Bombyx mori: one gene and its partner. The protein of the gene in region 2 binds, or shares a complex with, the protein of the main gene of each other region. Links are inferred from orthologs where the notes say so. Each region holds a gene or a part of one and is shown on either strand. Other genes may lie near its edges. The genes, in order: glucose-induced degradation protein 4 homolog and armadillo repeat-containing protein 8.

Region 1 (4,491 bases), on a different chromosome or scaffold from region 2:
ATATAATTACTAATAATATTTCTGAATTTCAATGAATATTTAAATCATGAAATTATATGCCAGTATTTAATTGTAAATAAATGTGTTGAATTAAAATGAAATCTAATGAACTCGTATTTTCATTATATCTCCATAAATCAAACAAGTAACTTATTTATAAGATGTTTTATTTAAAAAAACGTATTTATCAATGCTTCAATAAAATCATATTGAATTCTTGATACTACATTTAAAATTAAGGTCTGTTCTGTCTGTTCATCAAGTTGTACAACAAAATTTTCTGATCCTGCACATATTTCATTAAATTTGATTGGAAGCTAAGATGACTTTGGACTAAAATTGCTATTTATGCCATAAACAAAAAAACTGATACTGATAAAGGCAGCAATAATTGATCTTAATTGGCATTTACTCTATATCATCACAGCCCACAAAAATGGAAGCCGTTTGATACTAAACAGAAAAAAGCTGGGAAAACACTACATAGAAAAAAAACGACTAGCAACACAATAATCTACTTACATTCAAGTCATTTGTACAAATTATCACATACGCAGCATCATGAAACTTACTTCTTTATCTACATAATTACACTAAGTAATACAATGAAAAATTTCAAATAATACACTCATTTTTCTCGATCAACAAGAACAATGAATCTCAGTTATTCAAATATGTGCAAGAACAGACATGTCTCATTATGTTTAGTTTTTTTTAAATGTTTTTAATTGATTTTTGTTGGTGAAATGAACCATCTTTTTTTTCTGCATCTGAATATTAACAAATACTTTTCTTTTTTATGAACAAGTAAGTACTAGTAGACACAAAAATATTGTTCCAAATTTTAGTAACAAATATTTTCATCTGAACTCATATATTTGAATGCTGTGTTCAGGAACATGACTTAAAGTCAATGACTGATACCTGAAAATATAAAAATAGTTATTACAGTTTATTAGTTGTTTAAATTCCACTTGATTATTTTGTGCAGATGTTACTAGTGAAGCTTTTCCTTATAGTTATCCTACAATCTCGAATTAAAAATTAAACAATAACAAACAAATGTGAAGGTATTTAAAAAAGTTCTTAGCAAATGAAGCATATGGAATATACTGGTATTCTTTTAAATTAAACATAACTCCCAGTTCTATATGGCAAATTGACTCACATTACACAAAAATATGACCCAGCATTAAAAACACAGCACTATATATAGCTGAGCTGACTGAATATTCAGAAAATAAAAATATATAATCCTGTGTCACACAAACCACAATCACTATTTTCCAATATCTGTCATCATGTGACATCACATTATTATCTGAACAAACTCTGACCCTATTTCCTATGTTGAATATTACTGATTCAGTATCTTTCAAAATGCTTAGGTATCTACTGTACTGTTTGAGGTGAATATAAACCTATTATTTGCTATCACTCCTGTGTGGTATTACTTTGAGGACATATGACATCTGTAATGTACCTAAGATGTTAACTTGGCTTTGCATTAATAACAACTTACATTGCAGTGACGATAAGTTGTAACCAAATTGAACCAAGCTATTATATTATATTATAGTATATTGGCCCAAGAGCAGGAGTGGATTAAAGTTTACATTTAAAAAGTTATGTTAACAAATATATACAATAAATTCAAAGTGAAAAAATAATTTGTACAAAAATATTTAAATTTATCCACCTCTTTCTATCTTTTATAATTACCAACGACAGTAAAAGTTTACATTTTACAAGTACAGTTTAATAATGTTATTAACTAATGAATAAAAATTAAATTATGTAGAACACGAATATTATTTTCGAGTGAATTCATAGTATCTTAAATTTTCTAAATTTAGTCTAATAATAATTTCTTATTCATATCTTCTAATAAACTTATTAATCTTGCATTTATATCTATAGATTTTTTTTAAAATGAAATTGTCATAACTTACCATTCTGAGCTCCGGTGGTAATAATATCCTTCTATTGTGGCTGCAGACTTATGAAAACATATATAATAAAAACCAGCAAAAGAAGCACCATTTATATCCTTTATTGTATGATCCGGAACTAAAAAATGTTCTTTCCATCTCATAAACACATAATCAGCCTTTGCTAGAGACTCATAATCAAATGAATCCGAGTTGAAAGTCTTTAAATATGGTACAAATAAGTCAAATTTACTCTAGAAAGAAATAAAAAGAAACAAATTTAAACAGTCCTACAAACTATGTTATTAAAGTGTTTTTATTATAAAATTAGATAACTACACTTACCCAATGTTTCCTATCAACATCTTCATCAGCATCCCATTTTCTTGTTAGAAAGGGATATTTGGATGAAATTATTTCACCATCAAAGAATGTTGTGAGTGTTGGAAATTCCTCTGTTAAACCTTTTATTTTTAAATATCCACAAAGGTATGAATTTTCTTCGTCTACGTGCTGTAAAAATAAGTTACATAAGTTTCTAAAATTATATACTTTAACAAAAATTTAATAAGCCTTTGAGCCCCATTTGTTCAAAACATAGATGTCATTGCTAAGTCTTAAAGTAATTACTTTATAAACTTTTACAATTACATCCACAGAAACACGATAAAATATTGTTTATCAATATTGCGTACTTTGTTATTGTGACTAACCTGCAAAACTACTTCGACTTCATAAGAGTTGCCTTTACTTTTTTGATGTCCTTGAAATTTAGAGCCGTTGTAAAGGAGGGATTTTGTCACACCAGGTTGTTTTGAATTAGCTGGTGGAGGTGGTGTAATGTCTACTTTCACTGGCATTATTTTTCCATAAGACGATGACCTAGCTCTTGTAAATGTGACAGTTGCAGAACTGAGCGATGAGTAGGTACCGTGACAGACAGTAGTTACGCTAGCCTTTCAATTCTATCTAAATTTTTCGCTTATTGATAGAACATATGTTTTACATGATGGTTGTACGATTACAATAAAAAGGTAAAAACAGATATGCTGGGGATCTTTCACATCACTTAGACTTAGTGAAAGTTAGGAAACAAACACCGCAAATAAAATTCCTACTTGAAAGCCAGGTGACAGTGATTTTGTAGTAGTAGTTCCGTCTTCCAATAGCAAAGGCGAAGATATCACACCACAGAGCCTTTAGGAAATATGTTTAATGTTTATTTATTTTGTTATGCATATATTATAAATATAGATAAGTGAAAAAATTATATGGATGAAATGAGGTGAAAATAATTTAATTGAGACTAATTAATGAAGATGAAATTAAATGAAACAGGACGAGGGGATGAAATAAAGTCTCATTAAAATGGTGGTTACAAATACACAAAATTTAGCGGGCTTTTTTAAAGAACCCGGAAAGCAACATTTTCATTTTTCCGCATTCATAAGTGCATAAATAACAATGCACACATAATAAACAGCTAATAGACCACCGTTATTACATGTGTAAGCCTGACCAAATACTAAAATAACAAAACAAAACAATTCAGATAGTTTCGGTCCTCACGTTCCCGCCAAAAAATCAACTGAAGTCAGTAGTGATTTTCGTTTCATCAACTGACTTCGATCTCGTACTTCATAGTGAGTTGCAATATTCACGCCGTGGTATTTAATAGTCATCATCATCATCAGCCCACAAACGTAATTACATTCAGGTAAACCATCAATTCTTTTAAGCTATTGCATAGTTTTTATCGCGGGCTTTGAACGTGGCGACCGAATCAAGAAATTCCGTAACGAAAATAAAACCTAACACCATCCACTCCACCTACCATGTAGCTCGTGTTCAACATTTTCACACGTTGCACTTGTGTAGTTTGTGAATAAGCGCGCGGCGTGACGTCACGTCGCACTGCATGCGAATCATGAAAAGTCTGCCCATCTCTCTCTCGCGCGGTCTAGTTTATGAGTGTGAAGGGGGCAATTATTGTTTTGCTTTTGTTAATGTTTATAAATATAGCGTGGACTTATTTGATTTTGTTTTTTTAATATTAAATTATTATTGTCTAATTATAATTGCGTAAGTTGATAAAAATGCTATGTTATAGCTTTACCGCGGCAGTCCCCGAGTGGCACACGTGTTTTTTTTTCCCCTACCTATGCTACATACTATGCTGGTAGCGTCGAGGGGCTATACCAGCTTCACCTAACGTGTAGACGATCTCACGGGATTCAATCTAGCGAATATGATATCTAATTATTGGATAAATTAACTTCCATTATAACTTCGTATTTTCTTTCAAATTATCTTAAAGGTAAACTGGCACCAAGGTTTTGATAATTTATCAAGTAAAATTTTTGATCGAAGGCAGTAATAGAAACAACAGACTATGCCTCCTTGGAATCGTTAAATCAAAGATTTGACCCTATAGTCGTAACCTTCTTTGCCTTACCAATTGGATGAACTTGAAATTAGAAGAAAATGTCTTTGATTCGTCGTTTCGTTGATTTCAGTTTTCCTACTTCATTGATTTCAATAGATTGATATGTAAACTGTT
Region 2 (4,371 bases):
GTAACATCAGTTTATAAGAGATATACACATAAGTGTCATTGTGTAAATCAGAATATACAAATGGTTTTGGCTTGTGCATGCTTGTCTTGTACATGTTGTGTTGATTCAATTTGAGTTTTTTGTCGTTTATGTTGTTGTTAAACTACTGGTGTTAATTGATTTATTACACTTCATGGATTTATCTACATAGGCAACATATTAATGCATAAGACATTGACTACAATACCCAATTGAATTTTTTTGCAATTTTAGCAATTTAGGAATTTTGTAGCATTTAAGCTAGAGTCAAAGAACGCATAAACGTAGGTTGAAAAATGGGTTCATTTATATATTGAAGCATAAATTCTGCACAGATACACTTCAGAAAAAAATATAAAATGCGCCTTTGTTAAAATACTAACAAATATGAACATCTAACATATTGTGTGTATTATGCATTATAGAGCTATTGCAAATCTTAATAATCTCAAGCTCGGTTAAAAATTTTTCAATTTTCAACTGCTGATGAATTATGAGATAATCTATGACCATAGCAACTGGAGTATTTAGAAACATCAGAATATGTTTCAAATATGCCTAATAAGATACGTGAAAACTTTCAACATCTATTATCTAATCTAATAAACAATATAAAGGTTTTTGATTTGCCTCTATTTGTATACCACATCCATCAATCAATCACAAAGATACATGCTTATGGTGTAATGTAATGGTTTGTTTGCTTAATAACTTATTTGATTACATCATCAAATGGACTTTGATTTGACATTTGTTTTTATAAATTCTGTATTGAACATTACATTCACACCTATGAGTGTTAATTTTATCACAAAACATTTGATAAACTCTCAACCCAAGAAGTAAGTAAATGACAAAAACATCAAAATAAAATGCAACATCTAACTTGGAGGTCCCCAAACTTTTTATCTTTGTTACATGATATAACATAAGACATAAAATGTTTTATGCGCATTAATTTTATTTAGGTATTTATATTATTTCTTATATATGAGTCGACTAGTATCAAAGCCGGCAATGTGACTTTTGGACAATTATTGGTAAATCAGAAAAACGAATTATTGACTTTGTATTCCATTGGCAACCACAAAACTCTTCTGAACGACATCTTAGATAAATAACAGGTTAAGTATTAACCTTTATTTAATGCAGGTTTTGAACCATATTCTTTGAAGGAGACGATTATATTCAAATCAATCTGTATTGACATATCAATAACATTTTCTTGTTCAAATGTACAGACTGCCACCTTTGATAATAGACGACACATATATAGCCAAATAGACATAACATGTTTTGAAGATAATTTTTAGAGTAACCTATGTTTCAATAATAATCTAAAAATTAATAGCTGTTCGTTAGTCTCGCTAAAACTCGAGAACGGATGGACCGATTTGGCTAATTTCGGTCTTGAATCTTTTGTGGAAGTCCAGAGAAGGTTTAAAAGGTAGGTTTAACGGCCGTCTGGTGTAGTGGTAAGTGACATGGTCACTACACAAGGGGGTCGCGGGTTCGAACCCCGCCAAGGGAAGATATTTGTATGATAAATATAAATGTTTGATGTGTCCCCCGTCGGACGGATTCCTTTTGTTTGTTTTAAGTTTATTTTATACAAAAGTTTAGTCTTTTATTTATCCATCGAGGCACTACAAAGTCTGCCGGGTCAGCTAGTACTATCTATAAGGATTATTACATTAATTGAAACTCAAAATGATAGTTCATGTTAAATATTATTGTGGACCTCCACATGTCACCGACGCCAATTTTTTACTTTGGTTCTTTCTTCATCAATGGCAATCAATATAAGGCTGTATAATAAGGTGTTAAGGTTTGTTTATTTGTTTGTGAGTTTGTGGTAATCTCTGAAACTATGAAATCAATTCTGTAAACCATTTTACTTCCCTTACTTTGAGTGACAATATTATGAGATTTTGGTAAAAATAAGTATGTGGTTTGAAACATCATAATTTAAAGTCAAATCAATATTTAAAAGTAGCTGTTAGAAACTAGTATCCTGTAGAATAACTTTCTGTTCAGTTTACATATGAAAGTACACAACCAAGACTTTACAAGAAACCGAATGTGAAACTAAAAAAATAAAAATGACTTTTGTCTATTTAGTATTTAGAAATTATAAACATTAAGATAATCATGAAAGCTTTTATAAGTAGCAAAATCATCTAGAAAATAATCCCGCATTGCTGGTTTAAGGAAAACAATAGCTTATGCTGCATCTTAAATTAAGTGATTTGCGAATTTCATTTTCATTGTAATTGTAAAAATGTTAATTTACATAAAATAATGTAGATTAAATAGTGTAGTACAAAGTAAATAATCTATCAAACGTCAACTTTAATGTAAAAATTACAGTTAATATACTTAATATTGTTTGGGAAGCTTTCATACTAATATTATAAGAACAAAAATTTCTGTACATCACTGTGTACACTAATGTATATCACTACCATGTATTAATAGGTTTATGAAGGAATGAAATTTTACCTATTGTAATAGTTGCCTCTAGTCTAATGTTCGGATCCAGTGATTCTTCAGACATCAATTGTAGCAGCCTTGGAACTACCCCTTGACTGATCACTGAACTCTTCTGTCTGTTGCTCCCTATTACCGAGTTCTTCAGCGTTACCAAAGCTTCCATTACCTTCACCGCATCCGAAGAATACAACTCGTCGATATACGAGCGGGAGCTTTCGATATCCTATTTGAAATCTTTTTAGGTTATAAAATATCATAAGAGATTTTAAAAGTCTTAATTAACTCAAAGAATCCTGTACTACGTACCATGAATACTGTAAACTGTTGCATGTTTTAATCAAAATATACGCAGTAATGTTGGTAAAAATAAACGTTCGAAATTCAGATCGACAACCGAGGCCGAACTACATGTCAAGATTGTCAAGTGTTAACTGACAGTGACAGTTCTAGACCATAGATTATACACTTCTAGACCGCGTTAAAATTTAATATCTTTAATATTAAAAAAATTTAAAAATTACATAGACCAAGCTTCTCTACAACATTTTTTTTTGCTAGTACTGGTTAGTTGACTATGAGCTTTGACAAAATCCTACAAAATGTTCATTTAAAGCTACCTTACCCCAAATTTTCACCTGTCGTATTCAGCAAAGTTGTAAATAGTAAAAAAAAAGTCCCAAGTTTGTTTTTCTCTATACCGAACTAGAGGTATTACAATTATTTCGTTTCGTTTGTATTTTTAAAACAATCGATACAGTCGTGCTCAATAAAACACAACATATCTACATATACTTTGCGAATGTTACAATAAAAAAAAAAAGGAAACAAATACTGTATTTAAATGTAGACCAGATACTTATTAACTCCATGATTTAAATTTTAAGCAAACTTTCCTCCACAGTAGGCCGAAATTAATTCGGAATTCTGGATCATATAACTGATATCTCGTTTCAATTCTGCTAGAAAACGTTCCGAGAGGGCATTCTTTTCCATTAAAGTAAGTAAGATTACTCTTCGATCGTATTAAAAAAAATTGCAGAAAAGTGGCATAGAGTATTGTAACTCATGTGTCTACCTAAACTTTTTGACATGTGTTAGGCACTGAAGTATAATAAAAAAGTCTATCTTAATAAGTAAATATTGGCAGTTGACATCTAAACGCTGACAATTTGACATTCATAAAATCATACAATCCATTTCAGGGATTTTACAAAAACAATTCGTGCTGGTCGTGATATTTATTTACTATTTTTGAAACAAAATATGAAATTTTGGTTAAAGTACAATGTACATTAATTAACCTGATAACGTAAAAGTGTGATGATCTAGTATATTTCATTAAGAAACTGCATAATGACAGACTCTGGAGTCGACACTGGAAATGAGAGCAGCGATAATCCTGTGTTTGATCATTCGAAATGTGTTTTGGAATTTAATCTTCCAGCAATTCCTATAACCCAATCTGGTCAGCCAATGCCAGTAGAGTTTTTAGATGAGCCACATGATCATGTCGGAAAAATTAAATGCTCCACAAAAGCAAGACACTGCCGTCTTAAGCATAGATACGGTGGAACAGTTTGCGCATCCAGGAATCACAAGTTGCGGTTCGCGGCTTCCACGAATAACACAGAACTCGTTGAACGATTATTAAAAGCTGGAGCGGATCCTAATTGTTCAGATGAGCACAAAAGAAGCCCATTGCATTTAGCAGCTTGCCGTGGCTATGTCGATGTAGTGAGAATACTTCTGCGTCACGGTGCTAACCCTAACAATAAAGACACACTTGGAAACACACCTCTTCATTTGGCTGCATGTACTAATCACATAACAGTTGTCATTGAACTATTAGATGCTGGAACT

Evidence for each region.
Region 1: the proteins of armadillo repeat-containing protein 8 (region 2) and glucose-induced degradation protein 4 homolog are in contact, whole or in part, in a cryo-EM structure (PDB 7NSC), measured with the Homo sapiens proteins. The link is inferred for Bombyx mori from reciprocal best matches to the Homo sapiens genes ARMC8 and GID4. Residues at the interface, in NP_001350870.1 of Homo sapiens: Glu309, Pro310, Asp311, Val312, Asn371, Glu373, Arg406, His409, Arg413, Ser414, Val415, Gln416, Arg419, Thr420, Gln423, Asp424, Val444, Ser448, Cys451, Asn452, Leu455, Phe457, Ala483, Val486, Asn487, Trp490, Met493, Asn494, Phe497, Gln498; in NP_076957.3 of Homo sapiens: Leu104, Ile105, Pro106, Pro107, Pro108, Pro109, Ile110, Gln114, Pro115, Gly116, Val117, Ala118, Thr119, Gly125, Gln146, His147, Tyr154, Cys156, Tyr158, Phe174, Glu176, Phe239, Val241, Pro242, His244, His292, Ser293, Ala294, Pro295, Ile296.

What each region holds. Positions count from the first base shown.
Region 1 is NC_085123.1:10,770,814-10,775,304, reverse strand, and holds glucose-induced degradation protein 4 homolog, read right to left. Parts: upstream 3,111-4,491; 5' UTR 2,792-3,110; coding exon 2,645-2,791; intron 2,445-2,644; coding exon 2,277-2,444; intron 2,186-2,276; coding exon 1,953-2,185; intron 925-1,952; coding exon 861-924; 3' UTR 151-860; downstream 1-150.
Region 2 is NC_085117.1:9,114,715-9,119,085, reverse strand, and holds the start of armadillo repeat-containing protein 8, read right to left. Parts: upstream 2,956-4,371; 5' UTR 2,842-2,955; coding exon 2,818-2,841; intron 2,735-2,817; coding exon 2,521-2,734; intron 1-2,520. Other genes in the region: ankyrin repeat domain-containing protein 54, read left to right, coding at 3,865-4,371. UniProt on the Homo sapiens protein: Component of the CTLH E3 ubiquitin-protein ligase complex that selectively accepts ubiquitin from UBE2H and mediates ubiquitination and subsequent proteasomal degradation of the transcription factor HBP1.